Macaca fascicularis: one gene and its partners. The protein of the gene in region 1 interacts with the protein of each later gene in a pairwise test. Links are inferred from orthologs where the notes say so. Each region holds a gene or a part of one and is shown on either strand. Other genes may lie near its edges.

Region 1 (3,500 bases):
CCAGGAGCAGCTGCGCTATGGCAACCTGACTGAGACACGCACGCTGCTAGCCATCCAGCAGCAGGCCCTGAGGGGTGGGGCAGGAACTGGGGGCACAGGGAGCCCCCAGGCCTCCCTGGAGATCCTGGCACCAGAGGACAGTCAGGTGCTGCAGCAAGCCACCAGGCAGGAGCCCCAGGGCCAGGAGCACCAGGGCGGTGAGAACCACCTGGCAGAGAACACCCTCTACCGGCTGTGCCCACAGCCCAGCAAGGGAGAGGAGCTGCCCACCTATGAGGAGGCCAAAGCCCACTCGCAGTACTATGCGGCCCAGCAGGTGGGGCCCCGGCCACATGCAGGGGACCGAGATCCCCGTGGGGCCCCCGGAGGCAGTCGGAGGCAGGATGAGGCCCTGCGGGAGCTGAGGCACGGGCACGTGCGCTCCCTGAGTGAACGGCTCCTGCAGTTGTCCCTGGAGAGGAACGGCGCCCGGGCCCCCAGCCACATGAGCTCCTCCCACAGCTTCCCACAGCTGGCCCGCAGCCAGCAGGGCCCCCCACTGAGGGGCCCCCCTGCTGAGGGCCCAGAGTCCCGAGGACCCCCACCTCAGTACCCTCACGTTGTACTAGCTCATGAGACCACCACTGCTGTCACTGACCCTCGGTACCGTGCCCGCGGCAGCCCGCACTTCCAGCACGCTGAAGTCAGGTAACTCTCCCCACCTTGGGCTTTCCAGTTCCTGGCTTATCCTCCAGCACAGGCTGTCAGGGAGGAGAGCCTCAAGATCACAGCTTGTGTCAGAGCTGGCCAGATCCCCACCCCACCTCCAGGCTTCCTGAGAAGGGAGAGCTATTGCCTGGCAGAGAAGAGAGATGTAACTGAGGTCCCCTAAGAAGTTAGTGGCGTCCCTTGCCTTAGTTCAGAGATAGGCACCATTGTCTGCTGAGCTTGAGCATTCTAGTAACTACCGTCCCCAGAGGACACAAATCGCAACAGGCGGTTAAAGGTTAGATTTCAGAAATAACTTCCTAAAGGCAAGGTTGGGAATCATTGCCAAACTGTTTCCAAGTTAAGTAGGAAGAAGGTGGGACCTCCTTCTCTGGAGGCTTTTTAAGAAAATGTGAGCAACTTGCCTTCTATGATTATTGGGAGGCATTCCTAACTAGAAGCTGGAAAGGCCCGGTGGCCTCATTACAGACGTCTCTGCATCTTACACCAGCGCAGGAGCTTCCCTGTCTCTCCTCCCCATTTCCTGCCGTACGCTTCCTGCATCTGCAGCCTGCAGTGGGACAGGATTCTGGGTCCGGGTGGGCCTCTTTCTGGGGAGGCTCAGGAGAGGCTGCTGGGTCAGGGCAGGGACTTAGAGTTTGATTCTGAGTATGCTGGGAGGCCCTCGGGGGATGTGATTTGGTTTTCCTTTTCTAAGTGCTCTTTCTGGCTACCATGCAGAGCATGGTTTGTGAGGGGCCAAAATGGAAGCAGGAAGACTTGGGGGAGGCAAGAAGTCTAGAGAGTTTGGAGAAATGAGTGTTCCTAGAAACAAGGCCCCACCTCAGGCTTCTCATCTGGCCCGCATCTTTTCAGAGAAGCAGACACAGCCATCACTGCTGCATCTCCCCCTGTGGGAGTCCAAGAAACCCCACCAAGGGACCCCAAGGATTTCAGACTCTTCCTCTGGTGGCCCAAGGTCAAAGTCTGGTTCTCTTCATGCCTGCTGAGTTTTCCTTTAGTCACCCACTTTCCCACCGTCCGGCCTTTCCTTGCTCTCGAGAAATGTGTGACATGATGGGGTTGGTATGGCGGAACAGAGGATGGAGCCTCTTGGTTTTTCTCCAGCCTCCACCCCCTCCAGACTCGCACCTTATCGCCCTTCTCAGGGCTCGGTCAGGAAGAGTTTCGGAAGCTGAGTGGTGGTTTCTTCTTTTGGACCAGCCTTATTGAACTCTGTCAGGAAAAGATAGTAATCGTGGCAAGGAAGTAGACTGTTTGCAGGAGAACAAAAAGCGGGGGAGGGAGAGGACGGGGAGAAAGGAAAGCAAGTGTGAAGGGAAAGGAGTTGCTATTCTTTCTCAGAGCCAAGTCATCCCGAAAGAATGCCAGTTGTGTCTGCCTGGCCCAGTGCAGGGGGGAGCAAGTTCTTGAAGCAACCTTGAGAATGGCCATTTTAGCAGTGGAATGGAGAGTTTGAGTACTCCAGTGGGGACCCTCTTCCCAGCTCTTACTGGAAGCCCCATCTTAGATAGTAGGAGAAATACATCTGCCCAATATCCCCTTTCGGATGATCTGATGAAGATTATTTGTTAGGAACTTGGGGCTAGACTCCTAGCCTAGGGTCCTGAGAAGAGCAGGGGGGCCATAGGCTGTATGGGGGCAGGAGGCAGGGGCAGGCTGGGTGTGCATGAGTGCTGACATGATGCACCTAGAAGGAGAATTTGGGTTTTGTGGGGCTTCTGGGACTTGGAAGAATCTTTGTGAAACTGCGGCAGTTGTGACACTGGGAATCACAAGGTCCCAGAAAGGCTCTTGAACTCCCCGTGCCTCTCGCCCTTTGCTCCTTCCCTCAATACGGAGCCCTATGGGTGATGTTACACCAGTGCCAGAGGCCAATAGAACATTGTCCCCTGAACTCAGCAACTACAGTAGTCCAGAGGCAGCCCTTACTCCCAAGGAAACCCAGAGTTTGGGCCACATTTATTCTCTAAACTGAGGGTAAACCGAGGTTCCTACTAGAAGAGATGGAGGATGGGCCACCACTACAGGAGCACCTGCCACCCACCCAGCACCGGCCCCGCACTCTGCCAGGCCTTACATAGCATCATCCTCACAAACCCTGGCGAGGCTGGAGACCCTCATGATGCAACAGAGCAATGCCCTGTCTGTGGGGCTGAGGCACTTGCCCAAGGTTAAACAACTGGAGCAGGGATTTAAACCCCTATTTGTCAGACTCTAGAGCTCAGACTCTTACCCTGACATCTGTCTCACTGTTCTAACCTTAACTGGAGTCTTCTAAAAATGATTCTGGGTGGGTGGGGGCTGGGGGTAGCAGGACTTGAAATAGAAAGGAGAAAATGAGTGCTGCTTTGGCAGTCTTGAAACTGGCCACTCATGTAATAGACATAAGGTTGCTGCTGGGGCCCAGCCACCAAGTTGTCCTGGGCCCTGGAAGGTTATATGCTCAGTCATGATTGACATGGCCTCCAGCCCCAAAAAGAACCTTCCATTGACTAGAAGTGTCAAGGTGCATTTTTCAAGATGACATATTTAAGCATTAGTTGCTTAGGAGGCCCAGGATTGCTCAGGCTGATCTCCAAGGCCCCAGCCACTGTGAGGCGGGTATGAAACAAGCATCCTGACATTAATCCCCTCCAGCTCTGCTGTCTGACTCTTGAGAGCCTTAGGCAGAAACATTTGGAAAAGGCCTTCCCCACTGGTCCCTGCCTACCACTTGAGGGTTGAATAATTATCTGCAGCAATTTTAATAAATATTAGTTATGAATAATAACCATCTTCCCAATATGCCT
Region 2 (3,929 bases), on another chromosome or scaffold:
TCCTCCTTTACCTTGTCTCCTGTAAACCATGGCCGCTTCCCCAGAAACTGTGAGTAGAGCTTTAGCTTTTCAGGGAGTTCCTCCAAGTATTTTGGCTTCAGTTTCTCCTGAGGCAGAAAACAGCTGTCACCACCCTCAGACAAAAGCTCCCTGCATAGACATGGCCTCCCCAGGGCTGTGGATGGCCCAGGCTGGCCGTGGGCAAGCAGCCGTCTTCCCCGCAACTAAAACTGGGGCAGTGCCCAGGCTTCAACTGGATACATCAGCATTTATTAGACTCTGACTGGGTGCCAGACCCTATCTGAAGTGATCAGAAGGCAGAGAGGAATGAGATGCTGTCCCTGAATCTGTCCTCACTGTCCTCCCAATGGCCTCTGGGTCAGCCCCAGGAGCGCCTGAGCACCTGGCAACCTCTGGACCCAGACATGGGCAGAATCAAGGATGCAAAGAACTACAGGAGCTCAGGGAAAGAAGTAGAAAGTTCCTTCTAATGCGGTGGCAGAAGAAAACAATGAACATTGAATAGTTTCCAGGGAGATGAGAAATTCAGGTTGAAAGGAAGAAGGGAGAGCCACCCTTTGACTGGCTCTGAGCTGTCTGTTATGAAAATGTGTGGATCCCTGTGCATTTCAATGACAGCACTTGGAAACTATTGAGAAGATGCAATTCAAGAGTGCCATTACATTCCTCTATCTTGTACTTGAGTCTATATATTCTAGGAGCAGGTAAGTGACGTGAACCAGCTGACAGAAATGACCCATGACAGAGGCCAGAGGCGATGAAGGAGATTCTGAACATGAACTTTATCATCTAGGAATTGAATTTCTATCCTGGGATGCCTGGATCGTGTCCTAAGATTGCTGGGAATTGCCTCTGCTTTTGTTGACATTGGAGTCGTGAGAATAACTGTTGATAGTATGGGAAAGCACTTGGAGGATGAGTGGTACCAAGGACTTAAGGAAAGACCAGTGTGTGCAGGAATGCAAGAGTCCTGGCCCCAAATCCAAACTCTGCCAGGTGCAGATCACTGGGGAGACTCACAAATTCTGGGTTGTAGCAGATCATGACCAGTTGCATCCGGTTGTCCATGATCTGGTTCTCCAAAATGTCCACACGACTCTTCAGAAGAGGAGATGATTCATGTGGATGTTTTGTAGAACCAGGCTATAGACGTTTCCAATGAGCAGGCCAGGGTCCGCTACAGGCCTGACTTTGTGAGTCCTTCTCTGCTCTGGGCCAGAAGCCAGGGAAAGGGGTGACTGGGAGTGGGGTGCAGGACTCACAAAATTTGGGTCAAAGCAGAGTCTGACCATCTCCATGCGGCTGTCCATAAGCTGGTTCTCCAAAATGTCCACAAGAATCTTCTCCTCTTCTGTCTCCCCACCTGCCACCCACAAAACACACTCACTCTGAGCATCACACCCCAATCCAGCCAAGGAGGAGGCCACCTTCCCCCCACACACTGCAGCCAACCACACTCACACAGGTTGTGCTTGCGGGCAATGTAGCGCAGGATGGCGTTGCTCTGGGTGATCTTGTGAGTCCCATCAATCAAGTAGGGCAGCTGGATGAATGGGAAACCGCGGAAGCTCAGTTGGGCCACCAGGCCCCCCAGCATCCCCATCCCATAAGCAAGGGCAGAGAGGAGACCGGGCACTCACTGTGCCTGCTCATGGCAGGCCTGAAATAAGAATACTGTCATATGGACGAATGAGCTTGGACACAGAACATCATGGAAGGGCTGTGTAGACAGCCAGGAGTGAGGGAATTGGGCAGAAGACTCCTGATCCTAACCCCTCTAAGCTGGGAGAGGAGATGCAGTCAGAGACACGTTGCACTTGCCCCCAAAACCGCCCCTTCCCCTGCACCTACATTGGGAAAGTCCAGGCCCAGCTTGAATTTTTCATTCAGCCACTGGCTTCTGTCATAGTCAGGAGCTGTGGTGGGGAAGATGAAGTGAAAACAAACCTCCCCAGAGCCCAGCCCTCCTTCCCCGAGACCCTCTCAAGGAGCCAGTGGCAAGACCCCTGAGACAGGTGGATCTAGAACCTGACCACTCAGCCCCACATCCCAGGGATAAGGGAGAAAGAATCCCGGTGGGGACTCTGGACCCCACGCGACTAAGGCTTCCAGGGTTTAGGCAAGCCCTGAGCGACACCCATCCCAGTTATCCAGACAGGGGACCCAGCATCCCGCCCCAGCATTCTGCCTTGCAAGGCCAGAGGGCTCCCTCCCCGGGACTCAGGGAAGGGAGAGCCTGCAGCTCCAGCAGGGGAGGCCTGCAGAGGCAGCCACAGCTGGCCACCATGGGTTGCTTGGTGCCAACTCAGCGGGAGTGGGCAGGGCCCGGACACGAAGGTGCCATTACCGTGCCCCATCCGGTACTTCTTTTCCTCGTAATTTGAGTCTGTGTATTCCAGGAGCAGGCGGATGGCGTGCGCCAGCTGGGAGAGATGGCACGCATGCAGCTCGGGTCAGAGATGGTGGGTCCCTGACTTGGTGACTTTCTCTGCACCAGTCGAGCCCCCAGTCTACACTGCACTTACCTGTCGCCTCCTCTACCCGCCCCCACCGCCAGACACACACACAGCGTCAGGCACAGGCCCTTCTGAGGGCGACCGCCCTGAAGAGGAACGGTCTCTAGAGCCCTTCCCTCAGCTGCTCCACACTTCCCTCCTCCACTTCCCTTCTCCACAGCCCTCGTCCCACCGTCCAGCGGACCCACGCTCACCCCGCGGATGTCCCAGTACCCCAGGATCATGGGCATGGTGCCTCTTGGTGCGGATTCTGCAGACAGGCCTCAGCCGAGCGGGGCTCAGACTTTATGAGAGACCCAGGGAGGGGAGAGGAGGGGCCTTGCTGCGATCCCGCCCCTCGGCCCGCCACGCCCCTGAAACGCGCCATTCTGAGGCCCCGGAGAGGGCGCCTGGGGCTGGAATCAGTAACACCCACGCCCGCCTCCCAGCCCCGAGGGTTCCCGGAGCGAGGTCAGGGCGCCCAGAAGCCGAAGGCCGGGATCACCCTCGCCAGCTTCCCCAACCCGCCCTGAGGCTCCACGAGTCCGTCCAGCACTTGCTAAGTCCACAGCGACTTGGCCGTGCGCATGAAACACCAGCCAGATCCTAAAGAAGCAAAAAGCTCTTCTCCCTTCTCCTCCCTGCCCGCGGAGTCCCTCAGCCTTCTCTCCGCTGCCCAGTTCCCGCGGGCTCTGGGAGACTCGGGCTGCAGGGATCAGACTAAAAGATGGTGGCCCCAACCTGGGAATTTAATTCTGCCCGTCACTGTCAGAGCAGGACTTCCTCTGATTCGAAAGCTACTCCGAGGGCTTTGTCTCCCCTCTAGCCCCGCCTACACAGGAACGGTGTCAGTGGTATGGGAAGGACCCCCAAGAAATGGGTCAGAGTAAAGGAAATGTGGTCTGTGTTTTCTGTTAGGGGCCCTCGGGTACTGAGTCCTTTGGTCATCTGACTACGTACTATGTAAAGTAGCCACTTCGTATTTTGGCACAATTTATGAATCTAAATTAAAGGATCAGACCCAGCAAGTTGGTGAGGTATCTGAGGTGCCCCCTGGAAATGTCCAGCCAGTCCACTAGGTGAACCTCACATAGACCAAAACAGCAACAGCAGCAGTGAGTACAGTGGCCACAGAGGGCAGGCGAGGGAGGGTGGAAGAACTTCTGGGACCAAACTGAGGGTCAGGCTGCTATTTCTCCAGCCCCAGTAACCAGATGCAGATCACCTGGAGAGGAAGAGAGGTTTTATTTCTGCAACTGGTTACAGGGAGAAGGTCTGGAAATTACCACCAGACCAACTCAAAATTACAAAGTTTTCCAGAGCATATATACCTTCTAAGCTATATGCCTACAAGTGAGTGTGCATCATCTAAAGACATAAGTGATTGACTTCTTTAATCTATAACTAAGTTCT
Region 3 (3,500 bases), on another chromosome or scaffold:
TTTTAACTAAAGCAGGAGGATTGCTTGTGGCCAAGAGTTTGAGACCAGCCTGGGCAACACAGCAAGACTCTATCTCTACAGAATACTTAAAAATTAGCTGGGCATGGTGGCTTGTGCCTGTAGTCCCAGCTGCTCCAACTGAGGCTGAGGTGGGAGGATCAATTGAGCCCAGGAGTTCGAGACTGCAGTGAGCTATGATCATGCCACTGCCCTCCATCCTGGATGACAGAGCAATACCCAGTCTCAAAAAAAAAAAAAAAAGAGGGCATGTGCAATTATCTACACAAGACAATGAAGGCTTTTGTTCAATGAGAGCCTCTTCATGGGATAAATAGCTGTTCAATTAGATCATAATTAGAAAAGCCATTCCCCGAAAAAAGGAAGCAGATGACTTACATGCAAGGAAGAACAAGCCCAAATTCTTAGACCTTATTACCCCATCTGTGGTCAACACTGGGGCCATATAAATGAAAGAAGAAAATAAAAAATAACAAAAACAGATAACTTAGACAGACGTAGCACAGATATACCACATATAACCCTAAAGGTGAAAAACTCTTAAAAAGTAGAAAGATTACAGAGTTTTTAAAAAACTGTATCTTACCTAATAGTTTTAATTTCAGAAGTTTATTTCCTAAAGGAATTACTCAAAAGGAAAGAAAAGTAATTTTTTTAACTTTTTACAAAAACAACAGTTTTTAGCTATAGTATTTATGATAATGAGAATTTTAGGAACTGCTTAAGTGCAAGACAATAAGAGAGGTGCTAAACTGACATAGGAGCACCACAAAGGCCTCTAACAGGGTTCCCTCTAACAGGCTTTCCTCTGTAACAGGCTTCCCTCTGTAACAGGGTTTCCTCTGTAACAGGGTTCCCTCTGTAACGGGGTTTCCTCTGTAACAGGGTGTCCTCTGTAACAGGCTTCCCTCTGTAACGGGCTTCCCTCTGTAACGGGCTTCCCTCTGTGACGGGCTTCCCTCTGTGACGGGCTTCCCTCTGTGACGGGCTTCCCTCTGTGACAGGGTGTCCTCTGTAACAGGCTTCCCTCTGTGACAGGGTGTCCTCTGTAACAGGGTGTCCTCTGTAACAGGCTTCCTTCTGTAACGGGCTTCCCTCTGTAACGGGGTTTCCTCTGTGACGGGCTTCCCTCTGTGACGGGCTTCCCTCTGTGACAGGCTTCCCTCTGTAACAGGGTGTCCTCTGTAACAGGCTTCCCTCTGTAACAGGCTTCCCTCTGTAATGGGGTTTCCTCTGTGACGGGCTTCCCTCTGTGACGGGCTTCCCTCTGTGACGGGCTTCCCTCTGTGACGGGCTTCCCTCTGTGACAGGGTGTCCTCTGTAACAGGCTTCCCTCTGTGACAGGGTGTCCTCTGTAACAGGGTGTCCTCTGTAACAGGCTTCCTTCTGTAACGGGCTTCCCTCTGTAACGGGGTTTCCTCTGTGACGGGCTTCCCTCTGTGACGGGCTTCCCTCTGTGACAGGCTTCCCTCTGTAACAGGGTGTCCTCTGTAACAGGCTTCCCTCTGTAACAGGCTTCCCTCTGTAATGGGGTTTCCTCTGTGACGGGCTTCCCTCTGTGACGGGCTTCCCTCTGTGACGGGCTTCCCTCTGTGACAGGGTTCCCTCTGTGAAAGGGTTCCCTCTGTGACAGGCTTCCCTCTGTGACAGGGTTCCCTCTGTGACAGGGTTCCCTCTGTGACAGGCTTTCCTCTGTGACAGGGTTCCCTCTGTGACAGGGTTCCCTCTGTAACGGGCTTTCTCCTCTGTAACGGGCTTTCTCCTCTGTAACGGGGTTTCCTCTGTAATGGGGTTTCCTCTGTAACAGGGTTTCCTCTGTAACAAGGTTTGCTCAAGTATGGTTCCTCCCTGTCTGGTGGGACACTGAGGTGATTAAGTGGGTCAAAAAGGAGCATTTGTTTTGTATGTATTGCTACAGAGAAAGCTTTTTTTTTTTTTAATGAGTTAGTTTAAAGAAAAATATTAAGTAAACAATAGTACAGGCTGTTAGTAGATATATGAAAAACTATGAAGGCGATAGAGCAAAGACTGAGATTAAGGAAACACTAGATACCTATTAAAAATAAGCATATAGGGTGTGCGCAGTGGCTCACACCTGTAATCCCAGCACTTTGGGAGGCCAGGATGGGCGTATCATGTGAGGTCAGGAGTTCAAGACCGCCCTGGCCAACATGGTGAAATCCTATCTCTACTAAAAATACAGAAATTGGCTGGGCATGGTGTCATGTGCCTGTAATTCCAGCCACTTGGGAGGCTGAGGCACAAGAATCGGTTGAACCCGGGAGGTGGAGGTTGCAGTGAGCCGAGATTGGGCCACTGCACTCCAGCCTGGGTAACGGAGTGAGATTCTGTCTCAAAACAAAACAAAACAGAAGCATATAAACCAGACCCGTACAGCTGGCTAAGTGTAAACTGACAAAAATTAAATTTGGAATCAAAACATTTATTTTTCTTCTATAAAATTCCTTGAGGGCCTGGGAAACTGAATATTGTTAGAGATGATGTTTCCTCTGCTGTGATAATTTTACGAATTGGCATTTTCATAAAGTCACTGCCCAGTTCATATGTTGTTCGTTAGTTGTTAAATGCCTTAAGTCACTACCAAGAAAGTGAAACATTGGGCAGAATTTCAATTACTGCCATCACATGCAGCCTTCACATTGATTCCAAAGCCAGAAGAGACATGTTGTATCTCATTTATGTTTTAGCCAAAGCCTTCTCAGACACACATCATCACTTAAAGACTGTGAGATAAATTACTACCTTGGCCAGTGAACACATTACGTCCTCTGTATGGTTTTTATCAAGTAACTGCCCAGTGCTCCCATGACGCTGGTCAGGTCCCCTTGTTAGGCCAGCAAGGGCCATGGTTCCTTGATAATTAAGTGTTAACATGTTACACTCCTTTTTATGGTTACTGGTGACCTACTTTGCAGAACAATTTGTTCATTGCAGATTATGATGATGGCTTTTCAATGAAGCATACAGCCACCGCCCGTTTCCAGAGAAACCACCGCCTCATCAGTGAAATTCTTAGTGAGAGTGTGGTGCCAGACGTTCGGTCAGTTGTCACAACAGCTAGAATGCAGGTCCTCAAACGGCAGGTCCAGTCCTTAATGGTTCATCAGGTAAAGTCATAAAACTTTCAATAAAATGGACCTATACCACAAATCCCAGCTGACGTGATTCCTACACCATGCCTAAATGTACCTGTTAAATATGTCAGTCTAAACTGTTCCTGATTTGGAGAAGAGGTTTAAGGAAGTGGACCTTTCCCAAATGTTTAATAAGTTTGTCATTAAAAACTATAATATAGAACCTTGTAATGGAAGGTATATTTGTTAAGAAGTACATGTGAACTTAAGAATTTTGAGGCGTCCTATCAGTCTTTACTGCTCTACTAAATACTTTTTCCAAAGGAATTGCTCAGGCCTGAAACAGTATTCTTTAACATTTACCTATTGATCATAATCATTTCTTTG
Region 4 (3,956 bases), on another chromosome or scaffold:
AAAGCAACACTCTGCTCTTCAGGAAGCTGGTGGTGACAATCCTGTCGTCTCAGGTGAAATGTGGATTCCATCTGGGTAGTGAACATGCAGCTGACAGCACAAAACCGAAGCGGGGGCCACCCGGCCGTGGGAAAGGTGCGGGCAAGGGAGTGGGCACTCACCGTCTTCCCAGCATTGTCCAGGCCCAGGATCAGGATGCAGTACTCGTCCTTCTGAAACATGTACTTGTACAAGCCCGACAGCAGCGTGTACATCCTGCCCTGGGCGCCCCAACATGTGTCAGTGTGCAGCCGGAACGCAGCTCCCCGCCCCCGGGCTTCTCCACGGTGGTCAGGGGCGCCCCACGTCCAGCTGGCCGCTCAGGACCAGAGCCTGGGGGCCATTCCCGACTCTCCCTCCTCCACCGCACCCCTGCAACTCCTCCCAGGCCGGCCGCCACTCCGTCCTTCCGCTCACAGCAATGACTGCGACCTTTCCGAACCCGCAGCGGCTCCGGTCCCTCCCCTGCTCGCGGGACCACCCAGCCGGGTGTTCGCGGTGAGCTCCGCTGCGCTCCCGCCCTCCCCCGAGGTTTCGCTCCCACGCTTCACGCGCGCGGAACGGGGAACACACTCGCGGCAGCCCCGCCTGGGCCCCCGCGCCCCACCCGGGAGCAGCGAGCCGCCGGCGCGCTCCCCAGGAGCTCCCCAGGGACGCCCCATCAACCCATTTCTTAAAACGGGGACGGCCAGCGGGAAGCGGACTACAGGGCGGGTGCGCAGCGGCCCGGCTGCTCCCGGAGGCGGCGCGCGGCGGGCAGGGAACGACTCCCGCGGAGAAAGAACCCGCGTCGGGGACCCCGGCTACGGCCGCCCCATGCCGCGGCCGCCAGGTTGGAGGCTCGCCGACAAGCAGCCAAAGCTGGTTCCTGTCACACCTGCGTCCCACCTCCAGCTCTGGGCCGCCCCTCGGGCCTCGCGCCCCACCGCATAGCCTGCGGCCTACCTGCGACCGCCGCGACCTCGGAGCCGCCGCTGCTGACCCCCGCTGACCTCCGCTGACCCCGCGCTAACCCCGCGCGGCGCCTGACGGGACGAGAGCCGGCCTCAGGGAAGGAGCTGAAACGCGTCCCGGCGGCCTCCGCGCTCCGCTTCCCGGCTGCCCCCGCGCGCCAGGCACTTCCGGAAGTGGCGGCGCTCGGGAGGAAGTGCTGGTCGGCGGCGGGGACGAAAGGGGGGTGCCGGGCCGCTCTAGCCGGTGAGGCCGGCGGGCTCTCTATGGCGGCGGCTGGGAAACCGCGCGGGGGAGGTTCCCTGCCCGGGGAGAGGGGACCCCGGTTTGCGGGGACGCGGCCTTGGCCAGACTGCAGAGACGCCGGGCGCGGGGGCGGGGCCGGCCTGGAAGGCAGCGGGCGCGGCGGGTGGGCTCGGCGGAGGGCCGGGCGGCGGGGCGCCCCGCGGGGAGGGGGTCTCCGGAGTGACGCGGGACCCGGCTAGCGGCGAGCCCAGGGCGGCTCGGAAGGGAAGCGCGGAGCCTGAGCGGGGGTACCCGGTCTGCGACCTCTGCGCTGGGAGCTGTGCCTCTGAGCCGGTGTCTCCCCGAGGGACAGGGGACGTGCCCGTGCCCTCCCGCAGTCTGTGGGGCCGGTCCCGAGACGCGAGGCTCACCTGGCTTCTCTTCTCGCAGCCCTGGTCCAGCGCCTCCCTCTCTCAGCATGGACGAGGAGAGCCTGGAGTCGGCCTTGCAGACCTACCGTGCGCAGCTGCAGCAGGTGGAGCTGGCCCTGGGCGCCGGCCTGGATTCGTCTGAGCAGGCGGACCTGCGCCAGCTGCAGGGGGACCTGAAGGAGCTCATCGAGCTCACCGAGGCCAGCCTGGTGTCTGTCAGGAAGAGCAAGTTGCTGGCCGCGCTGGACGAAGAGCGCACGGGCCGGGAAGATGCTGAGTACCAGGCTTTCCGGGAGGCCATCACTGAGGCGGTGGAGGCGCCAGCAGCAGCCCCTGAGTCCGGATCAGAGACCGTTCCTAAAGCAGAGGCGGGGCCCGAATCTGCAGCAGGTGGGCAGGAGGAGGAAGAGGGAGAGGACGAGGAAGAGCTGAGTGGGACAAAGGTGAGCGCACCCTACTACAGCTCATGGGGCACTCTGGAGTATCACAACGCCATGGTGGTGGGAGCGGAAGAGGCTGAGGATGGTTCGGCGGGTGTCCGTGTGCTCTACCTGTACCCCACTCACAAGTCTCTGAAGCCGTGCCCGTTCTTCCTGGAGGGAAAGTGCCGCTTCAAGGAGAACTGCAGGTAAAACCCTTTGTTATCAGGATGCCAACCTTGGGGCGTAAGGGGCACGCACACAGGGTCGGGTCAGGGTGGCCCTCCCTTTGCTTTGCAGTTTTGTCTCAGCTTCTTGGGGCAGGCATGCTTTGTGACAGCAGTGTCTGTGTTCAGGCGTCTGCGTCTTTGTTCCGGGGTAAATCAAGAAGCATAGAAGGTGGCCGGGTGCGGTGGCCCACGCCTGTAATCCCAGCACTTTGGGAAGTCAAGGCGGGCAGATCACCTGAGGTCAGGAGTTCAGGACCACGCTGGTCAACATGGTGAAACCCTATCTCTGTTAAAAACACAAAATTCAACTGGTCGTGGTGGCGCGCACCTGTGGTCCTAGCTACTCAGGAGGCTGAGGCAGGAGAATTGGTTGAACCCAGGAGGCCAAGGTTGCAGTGAGCGGAAATGGAGCCACTGTACTCCAGCCTGAGCAACAGTGCAAGGCTTATGTGGAAGAGAATAGGTCTCCAACCTATCGTCATTGTTTTTTTGTTTGGTTGTTGTTTTAATTTTTTTTGAGACAGGGTCTTACTTTGTCAACCAGGCTGGAGTGCAGTGGCGCAGTCCTGGCTTACTGCAGCCTGGACCTCCTGGGCTCAACTGATCTCCTGCCTTAGCGCCCCTAGTAATTGGGGTACAGACTCACACTACCACATCCAGCTAATTTTTGTATTATTATTACTTGTTTATTTATTTATTTTTTGAGATGGAGTCTTGCTCTGTCGCCCAGGCTGGAGTGCAGTGGCGCAATCTCGGCTCACTGCAAGCTCTGCCTCCCGGGTTCAAACAATTCTCCTGCCTCAGCCTCCCTAGTAGCTGGGATTACAGGCACCTGCCACCATACCTGGCTAATTTTTTTGTACTTTTTAGTAGAGACGGGGTTTCACCGTGTTAGCCTGGATGGTCTCAATCTCCTGACCTTGTGATCCGCCCACCTCAGCCTCCCAAAGTGCTGGGATTACAGGCGTGAGACACAGTGCCTGCTTTTTTTTTTTTTTTTTTTGGAGATAGAGTTTCACTCTTGTTGCCCAGGCTGGAGTGCAGTGGCATAGTCTCAGCTTACTGCAACCTCCTTCTCCTGGGTTGAAGTAATTCTCTGCCTCAGTGTCCAGAGTAGCTGGAATTACAGGTGCCCACCACCACGCCCGGCTAATTTTTTGTATTTTTAGTAGAGACAGAGATTCACCATCTTGGCCAGGCTGATCTTGAACTCCTGACCTCGTGATCTACCCGCCTCAGTCTCCCAAAATGCTGGGATTACAGACGTGAGCCATCACGCCTGGCTAATTTTTGTAGTTTTAGTAGAGGTAGGGTTTTGTCATGTTGTCCAGGCTGGTTTCACGCTCCTGAGCTCAAGTGATCCACCTGCCCTGGCCTCCCAAAGTGCTGAGATCACAGGCATGAGCCACTGCGCCCGGCCCTGTTGTTAGTTTTATTCTCTAGAGTTCAACTTGAAAACTTTACTTTTTTTTTTTTTTTTTTTTGAGACAGAGTCTCGCTCTGTCACCCAGGCTGGAGTGCAATGGCTTGATCTCAGCTCACTGCAAGCTCCGCCTCCCGGGTTCACGCCATTCTCCTGCCTCAGCCTCCCGAGTAGCTGGGACTACAGGCGCCCGCCACCTCGCCCAGCTAATTTTTTTTATATTTTTAGTAGAGACGGG
Region 5 (3,500 bases), on another chromosome or scaffold:
ATTAAAGGAACTAGACTAGGATGTCAGAGCAAATAGCCAAGTTTGGCCTGAAATACTAAACGTATGTTGAGGCATCCTAAGGCACCACAGCAAGCCAGCAAACTCATAGGGATGCATTGGGATTTTTTTTTGAGACAGAATCTCACTCTGTTACCCAGGCTGGAGAGCAATGGCGTGATCTCGGCTCACCACAACCTCCCCCTCCCAGGTTCAAGCGATTCTCCCTGCCTCAGCCTCTTGAGTAGCTGGGATTACAGGCGTGCACCACCACACCCGGCTAATTTTTGTATTTTTACTAGAGAGGGGGTTTCGTCATGTTGGCCAGGCTAGTCTTGAACTCCTGACCTCAGGTGATCGCCTGCCTTGGCCTCCCAAAGTGCTGGGATTACAGGCGTGAGCCACCGAGCGTGGCCTGCATTGGGATATTTTCAATAGCTCAAGGTAATTCAGTTTCAACATTAAGTCATATTACATTCCTTTTGAGAATATCGTATCTTCGTGAAATTGGGTTTTGGTGGCTGCTGTGGTAAAAAGTACAGTGTGAATATCAATATAAAACAAGACATGAAAAAGTGACAGTGCTGATTCCAAGGTCTGCAAGGCTGTCAGTGTCCAATAGGCACACAAATTCCACTAGTAACTGTGGTTATGTGAGAATGAATAAAAGTGTTTTTTTCCCCATGGGCACTGTAATTTTATTTATTTTTTCTTTTTTCTTTTTTGAGACGGAGTCTCACTCTGTCACTCAGGCTGGAGTGCAGTGGCATGATCTCGGCTCACTGCAACCTCCGCCTGCCAAGTTCAAGCAATTCTCTGCCTCAGTCTCCCAAAGTAGCTGGGATTACAGGTGCCCACTGCCATGCCTGGCTAATTTTTTTGTATTTTTAGTTGAGATGGGGTTTCACCAAGTTGGCCAGGCTGGTCTTGAACTCCTGACCTCGTGATCCACCTGCCTCGGCCTCCCAAAGTGCTACGATTACAGGTGTGAGCCACTGCGCCCGGCCATGGGCACTGTAATTTTCAAGTGGCAAAGTTATTAGGACATAAATACTTATTAAGTTACTTGGCTCTAACTACTTACTAACTAAAATAAACAGAACTGTTTTGGCCCAGGAGCTCTGTGAAAAAACCCCTGGGACAATTATGAACGGTGAAAGTTCAGGACCCCTGGTCTGCTCTATTAAGGTAATGTCTCAATCAGTATATAACATACAAAATCCCTCACTGGGAGACTTTCTACAATGAGACCTTTATGAGGTCTTTTCTCCTGCTTCAGTGTCATTTCCCCTTATTAGCATTTAGAATAAGCAGATGTATAAAATCAATTTACCAAAGTTTATAAAACATCTTTGTGCTAAAAAGACTCCCCTCAACAGCCAACGAATGGTCTGTGTTTTCTATTCCCGTAAGGAGTTGAGTAGGTCCTTTAGGCCAGAAGTAACCTGCTGTTTTCTGAAGCTGCCACTTTGTAACTTTGGTCATGTAACTTTCTTAGCCCCTTTGTGCTCTTAGTTTCCTCTTTTGTGAAATGGGGATAATAGCACCTATTTCATAAAGCTATTGTATGGATTACAACAATTAGCAAATGTCAGCTACTTGGCAGTACTATTCAAGTATTAGCTATTATTATTAAGCTGTAGAGGTTCATGTTCAAGTAAAACACAATCACAGACATTACCTCTCTTCCACATCTTCACTAATACGGTTCTGTAAACGCCGTAGCCGGGGGTCACTAGATGAATCCTCCTCCTGTTCCTCAGGCTCTGCTTCTTGTTCTTTGGCTTTCTTAATGAACTGAAATTCTTCATCTTCCTCATCTGAGGACTCCATAGGGGCATAGTCTGGCCTCTTTCCGGACACATAACGCTTTACCTTCACTTTTTCCATTGAAATCTCACCTGGGTGAGAAAAATAACTATGTTTCAGTAGCCTGTTTCTCAATGTGCTTCATCCCATTATGGCCTTTGCAAATAGAGCCCTTTATTCATAGTAGACAAGAGTCTAAGCAGGAGAAGAAAGAGCCACTACCCAACCATCTATTCATCTAATAGTGTTTTCCTACAAAGGCCAAGTCACGAGACTGCCTCCTTGTGAAAGCCAACACTGATGATAATGAGGCTTACCTTGAGTACAATGAAGTGGAGGAAGGCAGGCAGTGAAACAGTAGAAAAAAGTCCCCCGCAAAAAGGCAGACTGCATCCATCACAAATTCATGGCATCCCACCTCAACTATACCCTTAAACAAATTATTTGTAACAGTGCCCACCACATAGTAAGGATGATTTCTGCAGGAACATAAAACTAAAATGCTGCTCAGGCATTCTTGTAGTTCCCTCTGGGATTTCCACGGCAGCCTTTATAACATATTACCACATGACTCAATATTCTAATCTTACTTATTTCTACCTTCTTTTCCTTTACCTTATGTGTTATCAAACCTGCAAGAGTAGGTAATCTGTTATAAATACAATTCTTTTTTTTTTTTTTTTTTTGAGACGGAGTCTCACTCTGTCGCCTAGGCTGGAGTGCAGTGGTATGATCTCGGCTCACTGCAACCTCCGCCTCCTGGGTTCAAGTAATTCTCCTGCCTCAGCCTCCTGAGTAGCTCGGACTAAAGGCATGCGCTACACCATGCCCAGCTAATTATTTGTATTTTTAGTAGAGATGGAGTTTCATCGTGTTAGCCAGGATGGTTTCCATCTCCTGACCTCAAGATCCGCCCACCTCGGCCTCCCAAAGTGCTGGGATTACAGGCGTGAGTCATAGCACCCAGCCTACAAATATAAACAATTCTAGTGAACAAAGAGAGACAGTGAAAACTAACCAACTTATTTTATGAGTATAACCTTGATAACCAAATTGGACAGTTCAAAGGAAAACTTTAGGTGGATTTCACTTACAAACACAAATACAAAAATATTAAATAACATAAGAGCAAATTTATCCCAGCGATATAAAAACTACCAAAAAAAAAAAAACCCGAAACAAAAAACCCCTAAGCCAACACAACTTATTAGAATTTAGCTCAAGACTACAAGAATAGTTTAACCTTAGAAAATTAATGAGGGGGCCAGGTGCGGTGGCTCATGCCTGTAATCCCAGCATTTTGGAAGGTTGAGGCAGGAGGACTGCTTAAACCCAGGAGTTCGAGACCAGCCTGGGCAACAAAGTTAGACCTTGTCTTTACTAAAAATAAAAAAATTAGCTGGGCATGGTGGTGTATGCCTGTGGTCCCAAGCTACATGGGAGGCTGAGGTGGGAGAATCACTAGAGTCCAGGAGGTTAAGGCTGTGGCGAGCCGTGACCACAGCAAGGCACTCACTTCAGCCTGAGTGATACAGTGAGAACCTGTGTCAAACACAAAAATATATATAGCTGGGCACAGTGGCTCATGCTTGTAATCCCAGCACTTTGGAAAGCCAAGATGGGCAGATCAGTTGAGGCTACGAGTTCGAGACCAGCCAGGCCAACATGGCGAAACCCCGTCTCTACTAAAAATA
Region 6 (4,274 bases), on another chromosome or scaffold:
CTCCATAGTTCCAGGGACCCCAAGAGAGGTACCCTCCCCTCCACCAAGCATTACAAACTCCAGTACCCCCTGTGAAAGAAGTGGCTTCAACAGCACTGAGGATGCAGGTGGCTGATACTAAGACATGAGCAAGGGCAACCCAACTTGGGTAAGCTGTGGGTCAGAATCCCACACTCACCAAGTGATTCTGCCCAGTATAAACTGGGCGATTAGCCGAGCAGCTCCCCCTAACACACACACACTCGCATACACACACGCACCCCTCCCCAAAAGCAGACTGTGTAGCCAGAGCCCCACCCTGAGAGCCGTGGGAAGGCCGTGGCCCCCGCTGGTAAAACTGGGCTAATGACAGCAGGGGAACCGGCGGGGCCAGGGGGGTGCTGGGGTAATTAGGGCTCAGCCTGGCGCTAGGAGATCCTGAGATGAAAGGTGCTCTGGCGTCACTGGGTTGGTTTTATGTCCATGAATGCAGGTGTGTGGTGTGTGTATGTGTGTGCTGGGGGTGGGGCTGGCATGGTGGAGACCTCTCCTTTGGGTTGGGTTAGGGGGTCCATTTGTACGCAGCCCACCGTCTTCCTTAGGTTGACTCTGGTACCATTTGGATTTTCGTGGGAGCAAACATGGGGGGAAATACCACCACCAGGGAGCTAGGAATTGAGGGGGTATGGCAGCTCTTGTCCCCTCCCCAGCGCAGGAGAGGGAGCAGATTGTTGGGGAAATGGCTGGTGACAGAGAATAGAAAGAGCCTATATGGAGAAGGGTGACGTTGGAAAGGGGAGGCAGTGGATCGGTATTGATGTTAGAAATGAGAGGGGAGGGAGGTAACGGGGAATGAGCCCCCACAAGGATTAAAAACGTAAGATGATTGAAGTTAAAAGGACATCAGGGGTCACCTGCCCAGCCTTCGCACCTGAAGCTTGAGGAAGCTCTGCCCCCGACAGCAGTGGCGATTTGTCAAGGTCACACAGTGAGTTACTGGCGGAGAAGGGACCCGAACACCCAAACAAACTCTACACCTGCAAGCATTTGGTGTTTAGACTTTCTCCCCCATGTATAAGGTGCAGGCGGCTCGTCGATACTTCCTCCTCCACCCCCACGGTGCACACCCGAAAACCCCCCAATTCTCCCGGCAAGCAAAGGCTATTTTTTAATGACATCTTTTCCAAAATATGTCACCAAGTACCCACTCCTGCGGGAGCCGCCCGGGCGGGGGAGGGCGAGTCAGAGCGGGGCGGGGCAGAAGCGGCCGAGGGGCGGCCGGGCCTCTGGCGGGGGTCCCGGGGCGCGGCAGGGGGCGGGGGGCGGGGGCGGGCGGCGGCGAGGCGGCCTGCAGGGAGCAGCCGCGAGCCGGCCGGGCGCGCCGAGCCCGAGCCCCAGCCGGAGCGGGGCGGGGGAGGGAGGAGCCAGAGCGGCCGCCGCCTCTGCCGGAGGAGCCGCGGGGCCGCCACACTCGCCCCCCGCCCCCCCCGCGCTCACTCGCACTCACACCCGGGCGCAGGAGGCGGGCGGCCCGGGCCCCACCGGCCCCCCATGGACGCCCCCAGCACGGGGCGCTGAGACCCCCGCGTCGCTGCCCAGCCCGGTCCAGCGCGCCACGCCGAGGTAAGGAGGAGGGAGCGAGGGCATTAATATGCAAATGCCTTGCGATTGATTATGCAAAGCCGCGGGGCTCCGTGGCCAGCTCCCAGGCGGGCTGGGGGCGCCCAGGGGGTACCCGCTGCCAGCCTCAGCCTTTCCCGGCACCCCAGTGACCCTGTCACGAGCCCGGGAGCGTCAACTGACGCCCTGGGGAAGGGAGGTGTTGTAGGAGGTCGGTGGGCCCCGGGGTTCGCAGGCGGAGATGGCGTCCGAGCCTCCCCCTCGAGGGCCCGCCCGGCCTCTGTCCGGCCAGTCTGCTGCGCATTCCCGGGCCGGGCCCCGTTGCCGGCCGCCGGAGCTCCCCCCGCCCGCCGCGCCGCGGTTTGTTTACGGTGCGCCGGAGGCCTGCCCCCCCCAGCCCCCACCCCTAGCCTCTGAGGCCGAGTGGCCTTTGCAAAGCTGCCTCCAGCTGCGGAGGGCAGTATGAGTGCGGTGGCGGTGGTGGGCTTGCACGGGTCCTGGGAGAGGGAAGTTCCCCCCCTCGCTTCACCCGCCTCCCAGTTGAGCATGGCTGTCTGGTTGCAACACTCCTAATTGCAAAAACGCGGCTGTTGGGGGGAATGTGTGTGTGGAGGGGGTGTACTTGATGGTGCCTAGATGATTAGGAGAGTTGCTGGCTGGGGAGGACAGGGAGAAATGGACCTGTTTGTGTACCCCACCTTGTTTCCCTCCCCTTGCAACGTGTCTCTGGTGCCCCTTCTGCATGTGGGGCCCTCCCTTGTCCAGCGTGAAAGAAAGGCCTGGGGGATGACAGGGGCAATTGAAAGAACCACCGTTCCAGGGGTGGGGGTGGGGGACACAGAAGGAAAGACAGCGAGGTGGGAGCCTGCCCCTCAGTGCTGCCTTTGGCTCCAGGAGGGGGAGGGGATGAAGGGGGCTGTTGTCCAAAATGAGGGGGGGAAGCAAAAGTGACATGCAGACACAGAGATATGTCCACACAGACAGCCACATGCACACCCAGGGACACCCAGGCGGACTCAAGGACAGGAGCTACTGGACACACCCACATGGGGACAAGGGAAGAGGCAGGCTGCTGCTGCACCGTGGAGCTCAGACGGGTGGGATATACCCACGGGAGACCAAGAGCATGGGGACCGACCCATGCACATACCCACCCACACACAGGGTCACACGGAGATGCTGTCACACACTGGGGCAAGGAGGAGTTGCTGTCACCCACACATAAAAAGTCACTGTCACATGCATGCATGCACACAGAGCAATTGCACACAGCCGCACAATTACAAAAGACCCTGTCACTCACAGGCACACACGTGCTCGCATGAGCCCAGTCACACAGACATCATTGCTTGCCGTGACAGTCGCTATCACTCAGTCAGATGCAAACACAGTTACACATCAACACATGTATACACAACTTAGCAACAAGTATTTTCCTGGACTCTTACTGTGGAACTCTGAGGTTCTGCAGGCAACAAAACCCTTGCTCCCAAGAATATTAAATTTGGCTGTATGAAAAGGTGTTCCTGCGTAATGGTGCAAAGCCTGCATTCCTAATGACATCTTCTTGGTCTCTATCGATTGAGATACCACCCTACTAGACAGTGAGCTCTTAGAGACCTGGGAGAATCACTTAAAGAGCTCTGGATGCCACCCAGAGCCTAGCACAAGGGCTGCTCTGTAAATACTTGTGAGTTGATTGACTGTGGAACCTGCAGACACAGGTGCACTCATTTGCACATGGTCCCCTGAACTAAGGTACAGAACGAGTTCATGAGGCCCAGGTCCCCACAGTTGCAGGTCCACACCAACAGTCGTGTCCACACAACCCCAGATGCACACAACTGGAGCCTGTGCAGCCAAGCACACACTTAGATGCACACAATCACAGACTTTTCCCCTTCAGCTTCCTCCTCCCTTTTTCCTCTAGGCTCAGCCACTGTGCGGGAATGGGCTTTTTTTTTTTTTTTTCTTTTTTTTCTTTCTTTCCTTTAGAGGGACAGAGAAACAAGAGCAAAGACAGTGGGTTCAGGGGGGTTCCAGAGGGCCGAGTCATGGGCTCAAAGCAGTATCCAGTGACTTCTAGAAGCTGGGATTCTCTTGACTGCTGGGGGAGGGGAGAGCTGCTCTTCTCCCTACCCTAAAAGCTCTGGGGTGTCTAACTGCCCCTGCTCTGAGTCATTTGCCTGGGCCTTTCCCGGGAACAGTCAGTCACCCCCAGCTGAGTTCCTGCATCCCACCTTGAGTCTGGCCCTTTTTCCCACCTGGACCCTTCTGTCCAAACTTGGAAGCTTTCCTTAAGAGGCCATCGGCTGGCGAGTGTCTGTATGAGTGATGTGTATTTTTGACTTGGAATTTCTCTCTAACTCTGTTTCTCTTTCTGTTGTTCTGTCTTGCAGTGTCTGATTCTCCCTCCCTCTCTCCTTTTTCCTCTGCCAGTCTGTAACTCTCTCTCGCCCTGTCGCTACCCCCCGTCTACCCCTGTCCTTGTCTCAGAGCTGGGGACTGGCAGCAATGTTCTTCATACTTTTCCAGTTGTTAATACCCAAGCTCCGCCCCTCGGCCCCCCCCCCGTGCAGCCTCTGGGGTCAGCTTGAGGTTGGGGTGGGGGGCGGGGGGCTCAGCTGGCTGCTCAGGACTTCCTGCACTTCCTTAGTGCTGCAGCTGTGGCCAGC
Region 7 (2,460 bases), on another chromosome or scaffold:
TTATATTTTATATACTACTTAAAATTAGCACTAATAATTGATAACATACCTGCCTCCCCTTCTGGTACTTGATTAATCAATTGATGATTTATTGTTCATTGTTTAGCTTTGTTTAGTAGTTATATTAAAAACTTAATGATTATTTAAAAGAATGTAAGAAATAAATCTTTTTATTACATTTTAGGTTTGTTATTTAAGAAATATTTTTAGTCCTTTTTTACATATGCATGGATTGATATTAATTCTTAATATTCGGACCCTTTGTTCTTCTGACAGTGTTTTATTAATATAACGGTTTTTGAACTGATCCCTTTAGCACCTGTGAAACTGGAAAAACATCTGCACAGTGCTAGATCTGAAGAGGGAAGACTGTATTATGATGGTGAATGGTATATACGTGGACAAACAATATGTATAGATAAAAAAGATGAATGTCCTACAAGGTAAAAAAGCCTTTATTATTTCAGTGTTGCTCAGTATTGTCATTTACAACATTGTTGTCAATGAAAGATTTCCTGCCTCCATAGTGTACCTATATCATTAGTTGCTTGTGGATCCTTTTTTTTCACTTGACATATGGCTTACATCATGTGTGGACTGCAGTGTTAATATGTATGAACCAGACTTCATATTAAGTTTATGAACACAAACTTTAATGCAAGGGGAAATGTTGAAATTATTTAGCCAGGTAGCTGATCCTGTTTCTTAATTCTTCTAGTAGATGAATTGTTAGGATTGTGCTATAATGACCCTTAAACCAGACTATTAGGAATTTTTGGTGGAACTAGTAATCTTTAACTTTTTTGGATGTGTTAGAGTATTTTAGATAAAAAGAATTTGTATCAATTAGAGTAGGAAATAAATGGAAAATTAATAAAACCCTTAAGATTAATAGTAATTAAAGTATAACCTAGGGCTGGGTGCTGTGGCTCACACCTGTAATCCTAGCAATTTGGGAAGACGAGGCAGGAGGATTGCATGAGGCCAGGAGTTCAAGACTAGCTTGGACAACTTGGCAAGACCCTGTTTCTACAAAAAATAAAAAAAATTAGCCAGATATGGCAGTGTGTGCTTATAGTCCTAGCTGCTTGGGCAGGAGGATCGCTTGAGCCCAAGGGTTTGAGGCTCTTGGCCTCATTTCACCACACCACTGTATTCCATGCTGGGCAACAGAGTGAGACCTTGTCTCTCTAACAATAACAACAACAATGAAGTGTAACTTGAAAACTGCCTTTTAAAAGTCCTAATAATATGTCTAGGCTTAAATAAAGTTTATAAAACTATTTATATAGCCTTCTAAGTTTTATGTGGTTGTGACCTTTTGAAAATATTAATGTTCATCATCTTTCATTCTCCAGTGATGTAGGATATAATTCTCAGAGTAGTACCTTCTGTGGTAACAAAATGTGGTTTTGTAGGTATCGGTGGTAAATAAAACAACTTGAGTTTAGTCTACAGTACACATTTTCCAAATACAGTGGTTTTAATTGTAAGATTATAATTTTGTCTTTAAATTTTTAGGACATTGTGTATAATAGCTTTTCTCATAGAAGCTCATTGAACTAACTACTAGTTTATATATGATACTCCTGGATTCTTCTATTTATTTTATTGTTTTTGAGATATTTTACCACTACTTAGCATAAGAGTTGTTTAAAAAGAGATGAGGCCAGGTAGAATAGCTCTTTCCTGTAGTAATTCCATTACTTGGGAAGGCCAAGGCAGGAGAATCACTTGAGCCATGGTGTTTGAGACCAGCCCTAGCTGGTCTTTTTGTAGAGAACCCCATCTCTATAAAATAAAAAAATTATTCGGGTGTGGTGGCAGGTACCCTTAGTCCCAACTACTCAGGCTGAGGTGAGAAGATCACTTGAGCCTGGGAGGTTGAACCCTGATTGTGGCATTTCAACTTGGGTGACAGAGAGACCCAGTCTCAAAAAAAAAAAATTCCTATTCACTCTTTAAAAAATAAATAATTAGGCCGGGTGCAGTGGCTCACACCTGTAATCCCAACACTTTGGGAAGCCGAGGAAGGTGGATCACGAGGTTGGGAGTTCAAGACCAGCCTGGCCAGTATTGTGAAACCCCATCTCTATTGAAAATACAAAAATTAGCTGGGCATGATGGCATGTGCCTGTAGTCCCAGCTACTTGGGAGGTTGAGGCAGGAGAATCACTTGAACCTGGGAGGTGGAGGTTGCAGTGAGCTGAGATTGCGCCACTGCACTCCAGTCTGGGCGACAGAATGAGACTCTGTCTCAAAATAAATAAATAAAAAATATATAATTTTAAAAAAGAATAAAATATACATCTATTTCAAGAAGTAGATCTTTTTATGTAAAGATTAGTAGTGTAAAAAAAAAACTGGTATAAAAGTACTGTAGATGGTTTGATATTGGGAATTAGAGATTAGTATTTGAAAGATTTTCTGAAGCCAGGGCTGACATGAGTTACAAGTATG

Evidence for each region.
Region 2: the proteins of AMOTL2 (region 1) and GSTM5 interact in binary tests that used the Homo sapiens proteins (3 or more experiments, as listed by UniProt). The two-hybrid records come from large-scale screens. The link is inferred for Macaca fascicularis from reciprocal best matches to the Homo sapiens genes AMOTL2 and GSTM5.
Region 3: the proteins of AMOTL2 (region 1) and SMARCE1 interact in binary tests that used the Homo sapiens proteins (3 or more experiments, as listed by UniProt). The two-hybrid records come from large-scale screens. The link is inferred for Macaca fascicularis from reciprocal best matches to the Homo sapiens genes AMOTL2 and SMARCE1.
Region 4: the proteins of AMOTL2 (region 1) and ZGPAT interact in binary tests that used the Homo sapiens proteins (3 or more experiments, as listed by UniProt). The two-hybrid records come from large-scale screens. The link is inferred for Macaca fascicularis from reciprocal best matches to the Homo sapiens genes AMOTL2 and ZGPAT.
Region 5: the proteins of AMOTL2 (region 1) and MFAP1 interact in binary tests that used the Homo sapiens proteins (3 or more experiments, as listed by UniProt). The two-hybrid records come from large-scale screens. The link is inferred for Macaca fascicularis from reciprocal best matches to the Homo sapiens genes AMOTL2 and MFAP1.
Region 6: the proteins of AMOTL2 (region 1) and THRA interact in binary tests that used the Homo sapiens proteins (3 or more experiments, as listed by UniProt). The two-hybrid records come from large-scale screens. The link is inferred for Macaca fascicularis from reciprocal best matches to the Homo sapiens genes AMOTL2 and THRA.
Region 7: the proteins of AMOTL2 (region 1) and BRMS1L interact in binary tests that used the Homo sapiens proteins (3 or more experiments, as listed by UniProt). The two-hybrid records come from large-scale screens. The link is inferred for Macaca fascicularis from reciprocal best matches to the Homo sapiens genes AMOTL2 and BRMS1L.

The regions. Positions count from the first base shown.
Region 1 is NC_088376.1:37,277,584-37,281,083, reverse strand, and holds part of AMOTL2 (angiomotin-like protein 2), read left to right. Parts: coding exon 1-687; intron 688-3,500. UniProt on the Homo sapiens protein: Regulates the translocation of phosphorylated SRC to peripheral cell-matrix adhesion sites. Required for proper architecture of actin filaments.
Region 2 is NC_088375.1:124,616,040-124,619,968, forward strand, and holds the start of GSTM5 (glutathione S-transferase Mu 5), read right to left. Parts: upstream 2,801-3,929; 5' UTR 2,768-2,800; coding exon 2,732-2,767; intron 2,445-2,731; coding exon 2,369-2,444; intron 1,938-2,368; coding exon 1,873-1,937; intron 1,565-1,872; coding exon 1,483-1,564; intron 1,385-1,482; coding exon 1,284-1,384; intron 108-1,283; coding exon 12-107; intron 1-11. UniProt on the Homo sapiens protein: Conjugation of reduced glutathione to a wide number of exogenous and endogenous hydrophobic electrophiles.
Region 3 is NC_088390.1:61,716,169-61,719,668, reverse strand, and holds part of SMARCE1 (SWI/SNF-related matrix-associated actin-dependent regulator of chromatin subfamily E member 1), read left to right. Parts: intron 1-2,973; coding exon 2,974-3,146; intron 3,147-3,500. UniProt on the Homo sapiens protein: Involved in transcriptional activation and repression of select genes by chromatin remodeling (alteration of DNA-nucleosome topology).
Region 4 is NC_088384.1:119,824,018-119,827,973, forward strand, and holds the start of ZGPAT (zinc finger CCCH-type with G patch domain-containing protein), read left to right. Parts: upstream 1-1,156; 5' UTR 1,157-1,236; intron 1,237-1,665; 5' UTR 1,666-1,693; coding exon 1,694-2,274; intron 2,275-3,956. Other genes in the region: ARFRP1 (ADP-ribosylation factor-related protein 1), read right to left, coding at 162-260, 917-970. UniProt on the Homo sapiens protein: Transcription repressor that specifically binds the 5'-GGAG[GA]A[GA]A-3' consensus sequence. Represses transcription by recruiting the chromatin multiprotein complex NuRD to target promoters.
Region 5 is NC_088381.1:20,401,585-20,405,084, forward strand, and holds part of MFAP1 (microfibrillar-associated protein 1), read right to left. Parts: intron 1,899-3,500; coding exon 1,679-1,898; intron 1-1,678. UniProt on the Homo sapiens protein: Involved in pre-mRNA splicing as a component of the spliceosome.
Region 6 is NC_088390.1:61,131,610-61,135,883, forward strand, and holds the start of THRA (thyroid hormone receptor alpha), read left to right. Parts: upstream 1-1,474; 5' UTR 1,475-1,602; intron 1,603-4,274.
Region 7 is NC_088381.1:103,691,900-103,694,359, forward strand, and holds part of BRMS1L (breast cancer metastasis-suppressor 1-like protein), read left to right. Parts: intron 1-316; coding exon 317-443; intron 444-2,460. UniProt on the Homo sapiens protein: Involved in the histone deacetylase (HDAC1)-dependent transcriptional repression activity. When overexpressed in lung cancer cell line that lacks p53/TP53 expression, inhibits cell growth.